Linked DNA regions of Arabidopsis thaliana. The protein of the gene in region 2 interacts with the protein of the main gene of each other region in a pairwise test. Each region holds a gene or a part of one and is shown on either strand. Other genes may lie near its edges.

Region 1 (5,027 bases), 2.1 Mb from region 2:
CTTTATTTCAAAAAATTACCATTGATTTATAAGTTTATTAGTATAATATATAACATATGGAATAAAACTTTTATTTAAAAAAAAATATTTTTCCCCAAAAAAAGTAGGATTAATAACCTGATTAATAAATAAAAAGTGTTATATTTTTAAGCATTGTATGCATTTACTTTATCATAGTTGTCTTGTTTTTAAGAGTTAAAAAATAATGATGAACAATTTCACGGACAACGATTCCACGATAAAGCTTTCCCTGCAACACTCAGATTTTCTAAAGACGGTTTTGCATTGCGTTTTCTGGGATTCGAAACCCAAACATGATGTACAAGTATTAATGAACTCTTAGTTAACCATTAGATTAAAAATATTTTCACTATTAATTTTCTCTTAAAAATATTAATAATTTTTTGAAATCAAAAATTATAGTTATTTTATTTTAATAAACGAGAAACACTACAAAAAAAGTTAACTGCATTTAGATAATTTAATAAACTAAAATATCCACATAAAAATTTCAAATTTATCAAAAATAAAACATCAATTTGTTTTTTGTTTTAAATTAAAGATTTGCTATTGATTGCATAAGGAAGAAAACTTTACAAAGCCGAAAGGCCTAAGAGCCCAACACACACAAAAGAAGAACCATTTTGGATCAAGGGAACCGACCATGGGTATTAGAAGTAGTGGTATAAAGCCCATCATATCCCAACACATAACCCACGAATGTTTAATATTAAAAGTTTGTTGTTCGGCTCATGATTAGCGATGATCATACAGAAAGTTTGTATCTAATACGTGCCTTGAATTTTATGTGTACAACAAACAAATTAAATTATTCAAAACCATAAATTATAAAAAATAATTACAGAAATAAAACTATATTAAGAGCGAGCCTACCATCCGGTGTGCAACTTTCTAGTTTATATACAGTGGCGGATCAACGTTAATGAGGCAAATTGGTTCAAATTCATCTAAATAAGACTAGAGTTCACAGGTTCGATTCCTCCTTATAACAATTTGCTCCCACCAATTTTTTTTGCTGGGTCCGCCCCTGGTTATATATATACTTCTACACCAGGTTTGGGTTCGAGTCCACACATAATTAACGACACAATTATAGTGCACGATAGAATGAACTAAAACAGCTAGAGCGTAGAGGGCTCATTGTCTATAAAAATCCTTCGTTAACTTGCAAGAAACCAAGAGTAGAGGGCTCACACTTAAGTCTCCTACATGACGATTATATTTCGTCAAAAAGAAGCAATTAGTTAGCTTTACAGCATATCATTTCGCCTAGGTTTTCCATCGTACACGTAAATTTTCATGCAAGAAAGCAGAAATATACAAATACTAACTTTTAGATACTGAAAAATGAGATCAGATTCTAGTCAAATTTTGTTAAAAGTATTTATAAATTTAAATTGCAAGTCCTCAAAAAGTACGACTAAAAATGCTTTTCTTAGAAAATGATAATAAACCGGCGTTTTATATATAAGTGTTTCTTTTTCTCTTCTGTCCAGAAGTAAATCATTAAGAACCAATATGGCTTTTCTTAAACTAATCTCCGTGATAATCAAATCTTTGATCATTCTCCACACAATCCCATCAACAACATCGATCTCACTAGATGCACCAACAATGATTCTAATCGGCACTACTAACTATAGAGATAGTTGTCCCAAAAAAAAAAAAAAAAACTAACTAGAGAGATAAATCATATTCAATACATGTACTATTTCTACTATACTTAAGAAAATTTGTATACCACTATCTTAACTCTTAACACTGAACATACTATACACTATCTTAACTCCCAACTCTTGTAAAAGAATATCTAATTTTAAGAAAAGACTTCAAATGCTTGTTAAATTTCTAGTGAAGATGCACATTCTAAAAACTGGTAAAATGGTAAGAAAAAAATATATAAAAAAATAGCCTTATTAAAATTTATATCTCCTATTTCTCTATCCAAACTACACGGATGAAGCTTATTGTTATTCATCCACCCTTTTTCTCAATTCTGTCCTATTTCTTGTGCATGAAACTTCTCCATCTTGTAATCGGATAAATCATACCCAAATTTTTTCTTTCTGAAAACATATATACCCGAACATTAATTACTATCGTCCTTTCTCCTAATTTTGTTAAGAAACATGTTTGTTTGTTTTTAGTACTGAAAAAGGATGGAGATACTTGCTAGATCCTATGAACCTTTTCTCTCTAGGACAAATCAGTAACCAAACAATAACTTAGCAAATTAAGCACGACAGCTAATACATAAAATGTGGATATCAAACATGCACGTCACTTCCTTTTTTCCGTCACGTGTTTTTATAAATTTTCTCACATACTCACACTCTCTATAAGACCTCCAATCATTTGTGAAACCATACTATATATACCCTCTTCCTTGACCAATTTACTTATACCTTTTACAATTTGTTTATATATTTTACGTATCTATCTTTGTTCCATGGAGGGTTCGTCCAAAGGGCTGCGAAAAGGTGCTTGGACTACTGAAGAAGATAGTCTCTTGAGACAGTGCATTAATAAGTATGGAGAAGGCAAATGGCACCAAGTTCCTGTAAGAGCTGGTATGTTATTTACGAACACACACACACTAACCGACACACACACACACAAATATGAATATCTATAATCACTACCAATAGTCTTCGTTCTCTCTATTTTCTATTCAGAAAATTGATTAATACCCGGTATTAAAAAAAAAAAAAAAAATTTGTTTAAATGAGTACAAATCATTGTTACAACTTCTTTATGCTGTTTTTACATGCTATTAAAGGTTGTGCATGAAAATTTCTTTTGCTGTTCGTATTTGTTTTACACCTAAACGAAGATTTTTACTTAAAATTAAAGAAAAAAAATTATACTAATTTTAGTTACGTTGCGTATTGCTAGCTTCTCCTATAAAGTCGTTCAAATTTTTACACGCTTGTCTTCTTGTAAATGAATTCGTGGGAAAATTTTGTATGAACACGTGTTTCTGTGTTGGAACAGTTCTTTATTTTTATTGGTGTGCATAGATTCTTCCTGATAAAATATATAGAAGGAGACAAATAAAAAACAGTCTTAGTATGTAGGTATAATCAAAGAATCAATTATTGGTTTTGTAGGGCTAAACCGGTGCAGGAAAAGTTGTAGATTAAGATGGTTGAACTATTTGAAGCCAAGTATCAAGAGAGGAAAACTTAGCTCTGATGAAGTCGATCTTCTTCTTCGCCTTCATAGGCTTCTAGGGAATAGGTATTAATTGTTACCTCGATACTACTTAACTCGGAGAGTCGTCATAAGTTAATACTAATAACATATGTATATTTTCTTACAATTGTTAGGTGGTCTTTAATTGCTGGAAGATTACCTGGTCGGACCGCAAATGACGTCAAGAATTACTGGAACACTCATCTGAGTAAGAAACATGAACCGTGTTGTAAGATAAAGATGAAAAAGAGAGACATTACGCCCATTCCTACAACACCGGCACTAAAAAACAATGTTTATAAGCCTCGACCTCGATCCTTCACAGTTAACAACGACTGCAACCATCTCAATGCCCCACCAAAAGTTGACGTTAATCCTCCATGCCTTGGACTTAACATCAATAATGTTTGTGACAATAGTATCATATACAACAAAGATAAGAAGAAAGACCAACTAGTGAATAATTTGATTGATGGAGATAATATGTGGTTAGAGAAATTCCTAGAGGAAAGCCAAGAGGTAGATATTTTGGTTCCTGAAGCGACGACAACAGAAAAGGGGGACACCTTGGCTTTTGACGTTGATCAACTTTGGAGTCTTTTCGATGGAGAGACTGTGAAATTTGATTAGTGTTTCGAACATTTGTTTGCGTTTGTGTATAGGTTTGCTTTCACCTTTTAATTTGTGTGTTTTGATAAATAAGCTAATAGTTTTTAGCATTTTAATGAAATATTTCAAGTTTCCGTGTTTACATTTTGAAGAAAATAAAATATTAATATATTCTGAAGATTTTTGTTTTTTTTTGGTTATCTACATGACAACAGTAAAAATAGAAAAAAAATCTTATTTTTTGAAAAAGGTATGTATCCGGTGTTTAGAATACTTTCCGAAATCAAACCGCCTATATTTCTAATCACTATGTAAAATTGTAAACCAATTGGGTTAAAACTCAACTAACAAACTTTCTAAATAAATGTCATTTTTGTTTTCAAATATGATTGAACTCGGATTTAGGAGTTTTACCCTTCAGTACCAAACCTTCTCTACCGACCATGTATGGTTGGGCAAATGTCATGTTTTACAATGTTTAGATTACTAAACACTTTGGTTGAGAAGGCAATGCTTTATTTATATATTCTGAAGTCATGTTTTAGTGTTATTTTTATTTATTTTTAAATGCATAGATTGTTAACGTGCAGATTCTCATATGGGCTTAGTTTCTGGATTTTGATTATCAAAACCGTATTCCACTCTTAAATGATTACGACAAAAAAATCAATACTACTAACAAACCTATTTCCCAGTTATTAATTAGTCAATAACAATTGTCAAATTTAATAACGTACTTGCTAGTAATAAAGTTTTAACGACGATCATAGATAGGTTTTTGAAACCCATACTCGCAGAAGTTCTGATACAAAAATTTGTACTCCCTCTATTTCAAAATATTAAATGTTTTAGATAAAAGCACAATGTTTAAGAAACTAATTAATCTTGAGTTTCTTACATTATAAACATAAATTAATATCTATTAAAAATAATTTGACCAATGATATAACTTACAGCATAATATAAATAGTTAAAAAAAAACTGTTTACTTTAATAATTTGCATAACAACTAGCTAGTCTGGTCCAAGAACGGTAGTAGGATGAGATTTTAGAAGGTCGTAATGTGTAAGACTAATAATCATGCGATAGACGATCATGCATGAATTATTTTATGTAATACTTATATGGTTCCAAAATCTATAAGAACCCTCAATTATAAAAGTAATATCTATTAAATATTTAAACGATAATTTCATACGGAA
Region 2 (6,913 bases):
TTACCACCCTTTTTCTGGTCAACTACTACTCATACTATTTTTTAATAGTGAAAATTAAAAAGTTCGAAGAAAAAGAAAAAAACACTTAAAACACGTTACTGTTTTGAATTTACAATTCACAATTATCGACTATAAATGCGTATATTATATTAAGCATCCGAATCTTATGAGATCAAAGAGCTAACTTAGCAAAAGAACCCGTTAACGAATCGGTAACCCTTTAAACATAGTATCATTTCAATAAATATACAGATACATCTCAATTACAAATTAATGTAGTGATTTATATCATATTCATATGTACATAATTCCACCGATTTTTGGTACTAAATATTGTAATTGCAAAGTTTCTATATATATTGTAATTGATTTGACATCGAAACTAATGAGGTTTAAACCAAAGATCTGGATCTATACAACATTTGATATATTAAGCATATAAAACTCCAAATGTACAAATCCCCCTGCCCTTAAATACCATACACGTTATCGAAAATATATACGTATGTCACTAACATTCATTTATTAAGCAGTCAGTCCAACTTCTTTTGTCAAATTAATTAGTAGTTTAATGTTATAGTAATCGGGGGTTACCATAAGGCATAAAGTAATGTCTTTACTTTTATATATATATATATAAACAGATCGGATCTTCTGTCTGAATCGTAGTGGACAAATGATGGCGGCATGTGGTGACTTTTCTAAGATAGTAAGATCCCAAGTTCTCAATCTCAAGAGCTATTTTTTCTTTTTTAATGAATACATCATATATCTATTTCTCGGTCTAGTTGTGTTTGTAAACTCGTTTGAAAATATTAAGTTACACAAATCTTGGTATCAAATAAAGAACTAGAAAACTATACGTTAATTAGTTTTTGAGAATACCAATAATCTAAACTGGAATTAAACTAATCCATTTTTATGGACGATTTCTTTCATTGATCGGTCCAAAGATATTATGATATGGCTTATATTTTATAAAACACTGCCTTTTTTGTCGGCATCATTACTTTATATTTCCAAATGATGGTCTAGTCATCCACGGAAAACACGTTACAAAATCAGTGTTCTTACCAAAAAGATAAATTTGAATGCACAATACAAACAAAATGAATTACAATCTAGTAACAACCAGTAATCACGCAACGCACAAATCATATAGTAGTCGGTGGATCTAATAAGCTAAGTAAGTACATGATATTAATGATCACACCTCGTTATTATCAGTAACATGAATTACGTATGTATCATGCATGTCTTAGCAGTGTAATTAGTATGAATATATGTAGAGGTAGTAACTAATATAGTAAGAAGAGATTAGTGTTTGCGCTTGGACTTCAAGGAAGTGAGGGAGTGAGAGTTGTTGTGCCAATTCCTCTTGCGTTGGTTAATGAACCAATTGTTGATTTGCTTCAACTGCAATCCTGTCTCCTCCACCAATTTTGCCTTGTCATCTTCCTGTTCAAGACACATATTTTTTTACATTATAAATTTGTTGTTGTTAATGACATTTTAGGAAAGAAAACAAAAACAATCAGTTTCAGTTTCAACGAAGAGAGGCCAATGCATGTGCAGATCTGATAGCGTCAAAGGCTATTTCTTTTCCACTATAGCATGCAACTTTAGACTGTAGTCCACCTTTTTGGCTTGTGCCAAATATTGAACGGGAGAGAGATGTATAGTGTTTTTGAGTATTAGTAACAAATTCAGTATGTTTGAAGAATAGAAAAAAAATGCATGTTGTGACTTTGAGTGTAACCAAAATGGGTCTTGATTGTTTCTTTGCATTTACATATCTATCTTCATTTGTTGTTTCATGTTATAATGATTATCATATTATTTCATGAAAACGTAAACCCAAACAAACAATTAGACGGAAACTATATTTGTTGTTCGTAAAATATAGAGAGTACTCACCGTAGGGTAAGGCCATTTGCAATGTTGTTGCCACCAATTTTTCAAGACAGTAGTTGTGTCTCCTGGCAATTTCCCAGCCCTTCTCTTCCTCATTATCTCTTCTCTTACATCTTCGATTCTCGATTTAAAACCCTTATCCGAAAAATAAACAAACGTCATAACAAGAAAATAAATAGTAAAATAACTGTATTACTATTGTGAATCATAACATATTAGTTAATTATACCTGTTTGAGTTCTAGTTTGAGTTCTTGTCTGACTCTTTCCATAAGGGATCTTTCCGATTCAGTCGGTAGCAACGGACCAAATCCCGTCATATCGTGGCCGCCGCTAAAATCAACGCCGGAATTATCTGACGAGAAATCCATCGGAAGATCATCCTCATCCTCCGACATAGTCGCACCCGACCCTTCTCCTAAAGTTGCTCCTACAAGAATACAGAACGTTTTAAACGAAATGTTACTCCAACAGTCAAACTACAAGATTTAGACGTCAAGCCCAAGCCCAAACTTAGGCTCAAGCCTGATATGCCCTTACGCATACAATAATCCTAATCAATACATCCCACGCTTTACGTGGTCATCAGTGCAAAAATAAATATTTTTAATAATTTCGTATAATTAAGAAATTTCATCTTTAGACTAATCATATAATATAACTATATAAGCACAAATAAAATCTCTATTTCTTATTGTGTGGGCATATAATATACTCTTCCTGATCATCTTCCAACACCTTACATTTAATATGTTTACTAGTTGTTCATATCTGGTATGATCAGCAAGAACCTTTAGATATACCTAACTCTATTATTTGTTTTAACTATCGCTAATTTTTAACAGGAATTTTAATTATATATATCTTAAGTACTTTCTGATTCTATAGCTATGTGGTATATATAATAACATGTAATTATCATGAAGTTATGTTTTTTAATTGGGTTATAAAAAATACCATTAAAAAAGTGGAAAAGAAAAGAACCTGTAAGAGAATGAAGGTTGTTCTCAATTTCACGGCAAGCCATAACAGCTTCGACGGCATGAACCCTCACGTGCTGTTGCAGCTGTTCTTTGAAGCTACACAACACCATTACATATTGTGCCTGTTTCCAATTAATTATAATTGTTAAATGTTTTATATATCCTCTCACATTTCATATAATTATTCAATGTGTAAACATTTTCCACATATATGCATACACACATATAAATATGTGCTTCTGGTGTGGTGTGTTTTGAGCGGTTAGATCATTATATAGTCCTATTTTCTACCTAACTTAAATAAATATAAATAAAACCGAATTTTTTTGGAACATTTCACAAGCTAATTCCAAAATTATAGTTGCAATATCAATTCCAACTTTAATGCAATTGCAAATTTTAGGTCGGAGTAGAAAATCAATCGTAACTAACATGATAATATTCAAAGTTTAAATAGAATTTCAATTTAATTACAAAATGACATTTAACATTGACTCACTCTATGTGAAATTTAGCACCTAACTATACAAAAAACCATATCTACATCTATGTGTGTGTATTATACATTTGAACATTCGTGTGAAGATACATAAATTTCCATGAAAGTTGAACAAAACCACTTCTTCACAAAAATCAGGTAAAAAAATACCAATAACTTAAATCATTGGAAAAAAACATAATTTGTTTGAAGTATAACTTCCCACAAGAGGAATTAGTAATTATAAAATTTATAGAAATTGTTGATATATTGACAAAAGGTTTACATCTTCGATCGATAAAACTCCCAACGATCTTGTAAAAAGTAAAACACGAAAATCATTGAAAAAAACATAATTTGTTTGAAACATAATTTCCCAACAGAGATTGGTTAGTAATCATAACTTCATTCAAAGTTAGTCCACTAGAAACCATCAAAAAAAAACTTTCAAATGAAAAAAGATAGAAACAGAACTTGTAAGTAATTTAACCAAACAAGATTATTTTTTAAAATATAACTAATAAATTTATATTCAAACGTACCAAGAAATTATCGAGCTCGTGACGATCATGATGGTATCCAACGGCCGTGGAAGCGTAAGAACGGAGAAGATGATGAGATTGAGAAAGCTGAGCTTCAATGATCGGAAGTTGATCTATTGGAGTAGCTACTCTTAAACACGCCACGTGTGCGGCTAATAATTGCTCATACATCGGATGTGTCGCTATCTCACCTTTCAACTGTCTATTCTGCTCCGCCACGACCGCGGTGTCTCCGTCTCCGCCTACGGTGGCTCCCATCATACCTAGTGCCGCTTCTTGCATAACCTTGACACAAGACCGGAGAGAGATACTTTTTGTGTCTGATCAAAACCCTAATTCTTGAAGCAGATTGTGTTCGTATGATTAGAAAAAGAGAGAGAGAGAGAATTGTCAGATGAAATCAACCTATATAAAGCTGTCCTGATTTCTTTCCCCTTTAATTGTTTTTCACTCCATTCTTTTCTAAAAATATACATTATTTGTTTATAGATTATTTTGTCTTATTTGTATACAAAATACATTTAAAACAATGTTTGTTATACACGGGTCTGGTCCGGCCATACCATATATTATTTTTACATAGATCAAATTATATTGAAAGTATTATTTTTGTATTGTTAATCGAAAGACTGAAAACTAGAATTACTAATTTTCATCAGATATGTGAATACAAACACACGGACGTTGATTGTTTTATACGGTGATTGTTATCTTTACAATTAATCTGAATTACTTTAGTCTAGAAAACTGCTACTATATATATGTTTGATTCCACAATATGCTGATATATACCTTGACGTAAAGTTATGAAAAAAGTGCACGTTAACAACGTGCTTTACAAAAATCATAAATACGTGTATATGTATGTATATAAAATGTAAACTTAAAATAAAAATTAAAAACACTTTTATTTTCCTTCTCGTGACAATGATTTAAGACCTAATAAGTGATCAACAACTTGAACTTAAAAATTAGTTGAAATTTTGAAAAAGAATGAGGAAAATAAAATATCTTCCCACCTTTAACGACAGGACCGGTAGACACACCTAATCCTCTAACGCCCACTTAACAAATAGTATTAACACCTAATTGATAATACTATTTAATAGTATAGAAATATAGTATATTTGTTTTCTTCTTTTGGTAAAGAACAAATATAATTAGTTATTCTTTTAAAATATTAAATACTCAATTACGTGATACAGTTAAATTTTTTTGGACAAAATGTGATACAGCTTTGATGCACCATTTCTTAGTCATATAACCTTAAAACAGTAACACTCTGATAATTTAATTGCAGTATTATTTGATAGATAGAAAAATGCTTTCATATTTTTCCTAGTTTGATATGAAGTTAATATAGCACACAAACAATAGTTTGATATATGAACTTTAATATATACTAATAGTTTTTAGCTAGAATTTCAGAAATATCCATAAAACTGAAAAAAAAAAAATTGATGTGTTGTGAAACGTTGTTAAGTCCGGATACTCTTGTGGCATGGTTTTTTGTAACGTCATGTAATAGTTCCGTTCAGAATTACAAATCTTCTGAACATACATGTTGGACGTTAAAAAAATTATTTTTCCACTTCATCGTTTAAAAAAATATATTCTTAAATCTTCTGGTTTTCCTCCGGCTTGGCATATTGGAGCCAATAGCCATCCAAGTAGTCTTAAGTTTTTGCAAAAAAAAAACTGCAATTAATTACAAAAACTAAAATAATATTTCATCATAACAATGGAATCCTTGGTCGTTGTAATTGCATATGTTGCATGTAGTTTATATCGTAATAGGATTAGATCAAATATTTTTAATAATGCCAATAATACATGACACAAAAAAAACTAAAATAATAGCACATAATATATTCTATAAACAAAAATAAAAAATACAAATTAAAAGAGGATTTTGCATATTATTAAATGAAAAAGAGAATAATGCACGCCTTCACCAATATGGAAAAACTACTTTCCATTTCTCCCTTTTTATGTAGTTATGTACAAATTCCCTTTTGTTTTACGCAATGACATCAAAAATATTCGTTCGTATAGAAAAATGAAAGAAACAAAATAAAGAGGGACAAAGACAGAGTTGGTCGAACAAAGAAAAGAGGGACAGAATTGTCGTTCTCTTAAGCCTAAGATTTAAGACATCTCACATCTGAAACAATTTGTGGTCCTATGAAAACGACTTCTCAACTTATAATAATGCTTTTGACACAAAAAAAAACTTATAATAATGCGGCCATTAATCAGAGAACAATGAGATACTATTAGTGACACGATACTAAGTTTTAGTGATTTAATGTACGGGCCATATAATATTGTGAGTTTGGTGGACCTAAAAATAATTCTCATTGGGCACTTCATTAAGGTCTCAAAGCCTAAACACTTGTACACATGGGTTCGTAATTGTTTCCGTGTGTGATATTACTAGCATAAAACGTTTCCTAGCTATGTGACTCCTCAAAAAAAAAAAAAAACTACCATTTGATTAGAGGTAGATTTTCATCAAACATATTGTATTCTTATGAAGACGCCAGACGGCATATTTCATCAAATTATAATTCTTGATGCCTCGTTAATTAACGTGTAGGCAACGATCATGTTGTTTTTTTTGGTGTAAAAAATGACCATGTTTTATTGTTTATCAATGACTTTGAATGTAACTTTGCTCATTTGATTTTCTTTAATAGTTACTACTTACTACTAGGCCACTAGCGGTGTTACCTTGTAAATTCATCACCGTGAAAGAAAGAAAAAATCATCACCATACGTACCTTACTTGTCACCAACGAAATATATATATATGTCCCAAAACCCCCAACAACATGCATTTTAACATAAATTAAAACCGTTTTTACAAAAGAAAAAAAAAAGAAAACAATCCACAAAAACGGAATCACACGTAAATATAATTAATTAATTAGGAACAAACTCATATTCCATGAAACCTGGAGAAGTCCTTGTAGCAGAAGCAACGAAAGCCCTAGA
Region 3 (4,354 bases), about 21 Mb from region 2:
TTGGGAGATAAAGGGGTGTCCGGTTCCGGATGGCTATGATGCTCTTCGGGTAGGTCCGTCTATAAAACGTAATTTGAGGAAGTTTAACTACACTGGCCCTATCACCATCACTGCCGTTGGCGTACTATCAGAGGTCCCTCGAGATTTCCTTGAAACCACTGGAGAGTGGAGTCAGTCTCTTTCTCAAGTCTTAGTTGTTTCTGAAACAGGTCCCACATACATGGTTTCGCTTTTCATTGACTCCCCTGATTCTAAGATTCCACGTCCACATAATACCTATGAAGACGACGAGGCTCCCCCTTGATTATTTTCCGGAGAAATAATGCCTACTACCATTGGTGAGGGAAGAAGCAACCAAACCTTGAGATTTCTCATCTTTTGAATTCTGGGGTTTACCGGAAATCTTGGTAAATAGAAATGTGAAATGTACCATCCTTTAATAATCTTTTCTTATTATCTTTTATTTCCGTGATTTAATGTAGTAAAATCAAGTTCCTGTCACTTGAAGTTGTACAACTTACAAAAAAAAAACAGAACACAGAGAAAGCTACTCTGTATCCAATGCTCTGTGTTATCATGCATATATTATAAAACCCATTTCAATGATCTTTAATCGTCATGGTCGCTTGGAAACAGGTCAGTGCAGAGCTCTCCATAGAATCTAGTCACAAGATCAATGAAGATTGGACTATTAAGATTCTTCCAATAATAGAGAAGCTCTTCCATGTCCATCAAGTCATCTATTTTCCCATCTTCAACGAACATATGGATCATATAGTTCTCGAATCTTCTGCAAGCCTCTTTCACACCATCTTCCTTTAACATATGTCTTTGACTCGTCCTCGCTTTCTTGTTCCTTTGCGTCATAGCCAAAGGAAACATCTTTCTTGAATGCAGAAGCTTGGAATCATCGATCAGACTAGCTGCAGTGGCATATTTGTAGAATAAAATTTAGATCAAAGGTACTCTATAAAATCGACAATAGTTACAAAAGAAATTGTTGTTACACGGGGAATTTCTGGGTCTGATCTGGCTCATCCTCTGCTCCTTATTAGTATTGAGAAAACAGAGACGAGACAACAAAGAAGATGATGAAGATTGTGTGGTATTGACATTGCGAAAACGAGCATGGAAGAAGGAGATGAATCTGTTGCATGATTTTGAAAGCTTTGATTTCAAGCTAATCAAACTTGACTTCAGTCTCATTCTCGATCCTTCCGAAGCTGATTTATTCTTTGTTGTTGTTGTTGTGGTATAATGTGTAGGTTTGGGAGGGTGGTTCGAGTTACGTGGGTTTCACGTCTTTTCCTTTGACACGAAGTCGTGATGGTGGAGTCCCATGAACTTGAGCCTTAATTTGAATGTTTTTTGCAAATTTAATTTTAAGCTATAATCTGACCTAGATATTGTCACATTATGAGTAGGAGGAGTGGGTAAATATATCGGTGTTTACTGGGATCAGTAGTAGTCGTTAGGGTTGTGACTGACCCCGCTCGTTTGTCGAACCCTAGCTTCAAATATGAGTCGTTGACCCAAAAAAAAAAAGCTTTGGTCAAACACACACGTGTGAGGTAGGGAGACCACAAGCTAATTGGTGAAAAGGAGACGACACGCCGAGTTTTATGCAAATATGTCTTTTATTATTCTCTACAGTTTCTTCTACACCATTATTGTTATATACTATGACTATGGCTATATTAAGAGATTGGACATGAACCTGAAATCTTGTTTAACCTCTTTTGTTGAAACCCTTTGTCACGTTCGCCGAATTATGTTTTGGAAGCAATTTACCAGAAATATTCTATTTAGTCTAATTGATACCCACCAATCGACCTACTACCGACAGACAATTTTTGAGGACACTTTGTTGCTCAATTTTCAAGTCTAATAAAACCTTTTAATTCTCAATCTCATCTACGTACACCTCAATTATTTCGATTACACCGGTTTAGATAGGATATTTTATTTAAATTTGATTTGATTTGGTTTAACTTGGTTATTCGGTTAGGGAGAGAAGCCGGAATGAGTTTGGTACAAACAAAGACATTCTATGAAGTGGATCCCAATTTTGTTCCGTCTTGTCCCTTTTACATCCCAATTCTACACTTTCTTCTCTCTTTTATTTGTCACATAGAAACTCTGCAAACTATACATATTTTTTTTCTCTCTTTTATCTGAGAAGATCACTTATTTTTTGAAATTAGAGATGAGGAACTATAAGTTAAGATTGTCAGTTATGAGCCCAAGTGAATGGTTCCACAAGCTCAAGAACATGACAAAACCTAGAAAAAAGCATTCTCTTCCTCTTTACTCCATAAACACTACCAAGAAGAGAAAACCTTCCTCTGAGTCAAAGTCTCTTCCTTACTCTTCAACTTCTTACTTCTTCAATAGGTCACGCTCACGCACATCCTTTGAATCTAGGATCCTTCAAATTTCACCAAGAAACTCTCTTCACAACATACAGAGCAAAAGAAAGACTGTTTACAAGCCTTCTCCTCCTTCCTCTTCTATTGTATCTGCAGGTTTTAACAAAACATTTCATCAAAGCCATGATTCTCTCTCTGCCTCTTCCAACTTGAAAGTCATTTCTTCTGAAGATGATATTATCATCGACATGAATAATAGAGATTTCAAGAAGAAAACTTTCAAAGAGATCACGAAGTTTGATTCAACGGAGAAAGCCTGTCGTGCAAGTAACCGAACCAAGGAAACACATATACCTCATCATCTCTCTGTGAAGGTCAGTAAAGAGAAAGAAGATGAAGAGGAAGATGCATGTCGAACCAAGAAGAAACATCAGAAAACATTAGTTTCTAGTGGAAGAAGATCATCAGCTAAATCTCCAAGGATAAAGCTCAGAGCGAGATCTCCTAGAATTCAAGTCTCGCCTCGTAGAAGCAAATCAAGATCACAGAACAAACAAATTCTTGACAGTTTTGCAGTAATCAAGAGTTCTATCGATCCGAGCAAGGATTTCAGAGAATCAATGGTGGAGATGATAGCAGAGAACAACATCAGAACCTCTAACGACATGGAGGATCTTCTAGTATGTTACCTTACCTTGAATCCCAAGGAGTATCATGATCTCATTATCAAGGTTTTCGTTCAAGTCTGGCTTGAAGTCATAAACTCTACATTTGCATCGAAGTAGAATGAACTATGATCAAAAGCTTTAAATCTCTGGTTAATTGTAGTTCTTTTAAAGAGTTTGATGTAGCCGTGGAGATTTTCTTTGCAAGACCAGTTTTTGTGTTGTCTGAATAACGTGATAAAGACATATAAATCACTCGCTTCCTTTTCGTCTCTGGTTATGGTTTGTGAAGGTAATAGAACATACTTATTCAGTAATTTAAAAATCAGTAACTAAAACATACTTATTCAATACATGCCTCATGGATGATAATAATTCAATTTTAGAATTAAAATGTGAAACAGTATGTGCTGCTAAATGTTTATGTGATATTTTCAGAAACAATATACAAATCCAAAGAGTTTTATTATATTAGTTTCATGTAGTGATAAACCTTGGATTAGATTAGGATTGATGGAGTTTAGTCATGGTAACGACTTATGTAACAAGAGCGAAAATGTCAAAAGAAAAAAAAAAGAGTCAAGAAAAGGCCAAAAGTGTAGTGACAAGAAGCCACACGGAGACAAGTCAGAAACCCATCAAGTACGGAGTAGAAATGGGTTCCAGTCCTAATGAGTAATGAAGCAGGAAACATGAAAATGGAGCCTGAATAACATAAATCGCTAGAGAGAGAAACTAACACTGACACAGAAGAGTATATGGTTAAAGAGGAAAAGCAGAGAGAGAGTTTTAAGAACCTAAAGGCTCTTTGTTGTCGTGATGAAGAAGATGAGGACCACTGTTTTGCTGCTGCTTCCCAATGCCCATCTCCTCTACCATCTATTTATACTGGTAGTACTTAGTACGGTATGGACAGACATTTCTTGGGAATTGATCAAACCACAAAACATAAACATTAAATGATGAAACACCAAACTCGATTTTGATATATAGTGCACGGGAAAGGCCGGTTTAATACAAACTGTAGGCCCATTAAAGCGAAGCCCCATTATCAACGCTATATATTTGAGGCGTTGTGATTCTTATTCTTCTCTTTCAAACAAGGATTTCGAAACCCTAATCGATATTGAGGTCAAGATTCAAACAACTCTGCTTATCTCTGAGGTAAATTTTTCGAAACCCTAATCGATATCGACTCATTGCGTAAATGAAACACCAAGACAGTAGAAAACGTAATAGAAAATAATATGAAACCGAAATGAACTGCTCGTCTACATTTGACTAAGGAACCTAGTTTACTTAACAAAACCATTCACTAGA

What was found. Proteins that work in one complex are often made in the same cells at the same time.
Region 1: the proteins of KNAT7 (region 2) and PAP1 interact in a two-hybrid assay, tested with the Arabidopsis thaliana proteins (2 studies listed by BioGRID, with this or other methods).
Region 3: the proteins of KNAT7 (region 2) and OFP4 interact in a two-hybrid assay, tested with the Arabidopsis thaliana proteins (2 studies listed by BioGRID, with this or other methods).

Annotation. Positions count from the first base shown.
Region 1 is NC_003070.9:21,232,533-21,237,559, reverse strand, and holds PAP1 (production of anthocyanin pigment 1), read left to right. Parts: upstream 1-2,267; 5' UTR 2,268-2,470; coding exon 2,471-2,591; intron 2,592-3,131; coding exon 3,132-3,261; intron 3,262-3,350; coding exon 3,351-3,846; 3' UTR 3,847-4,005; downstream 4,006-5,027.
Region 2 is NC_003070.9:23,334,753-23,341,665, reverse strand, and holds KNAT7 (homeobox knotted-like protein), read right to left. Parts: upstream 4,500-6,913; 5' UTR 4,199-4,499; coding exon 3,917-4,198; intron 3,019-3,916; coding exon 2,898-3,018; intron 2,344-2,897; coding exon 2,144-2,343; intron 2,050-2,143; coding exon 1,918-2,049; intron 1,459-1,917; coding exon 1,318-1,458; 3' UTR 974-1,317; downstream 1-973. Other genes in the region: AT1G62981 (transmembrane protein, putative (DUF1191)), read right to left, coding at 6,842-6,913. UniProt on the Arabidopsis thaliana protein: May be involved in secondary cell wall biosynthesis.
Region 3 is NC_003070.9:2,123,654-2,128,007, reverse strand, and holds OFP4 (ovate family protein 4), read left to right. Parts: upstream 1-2,105; 5' UTR 2,106-2,206; coding exon 2,207-3,154; 3' UTR 3,155-3,332; downstream 3,333-4,354. Other genes in the region: AT1G06925 (endonuclease/glycosyl hydrolase), read left to right, coding at 1-304; AT1G06923 (transcription repressor OFP17-like protein), read right to left, coding at 610-923, 1,008-1,206.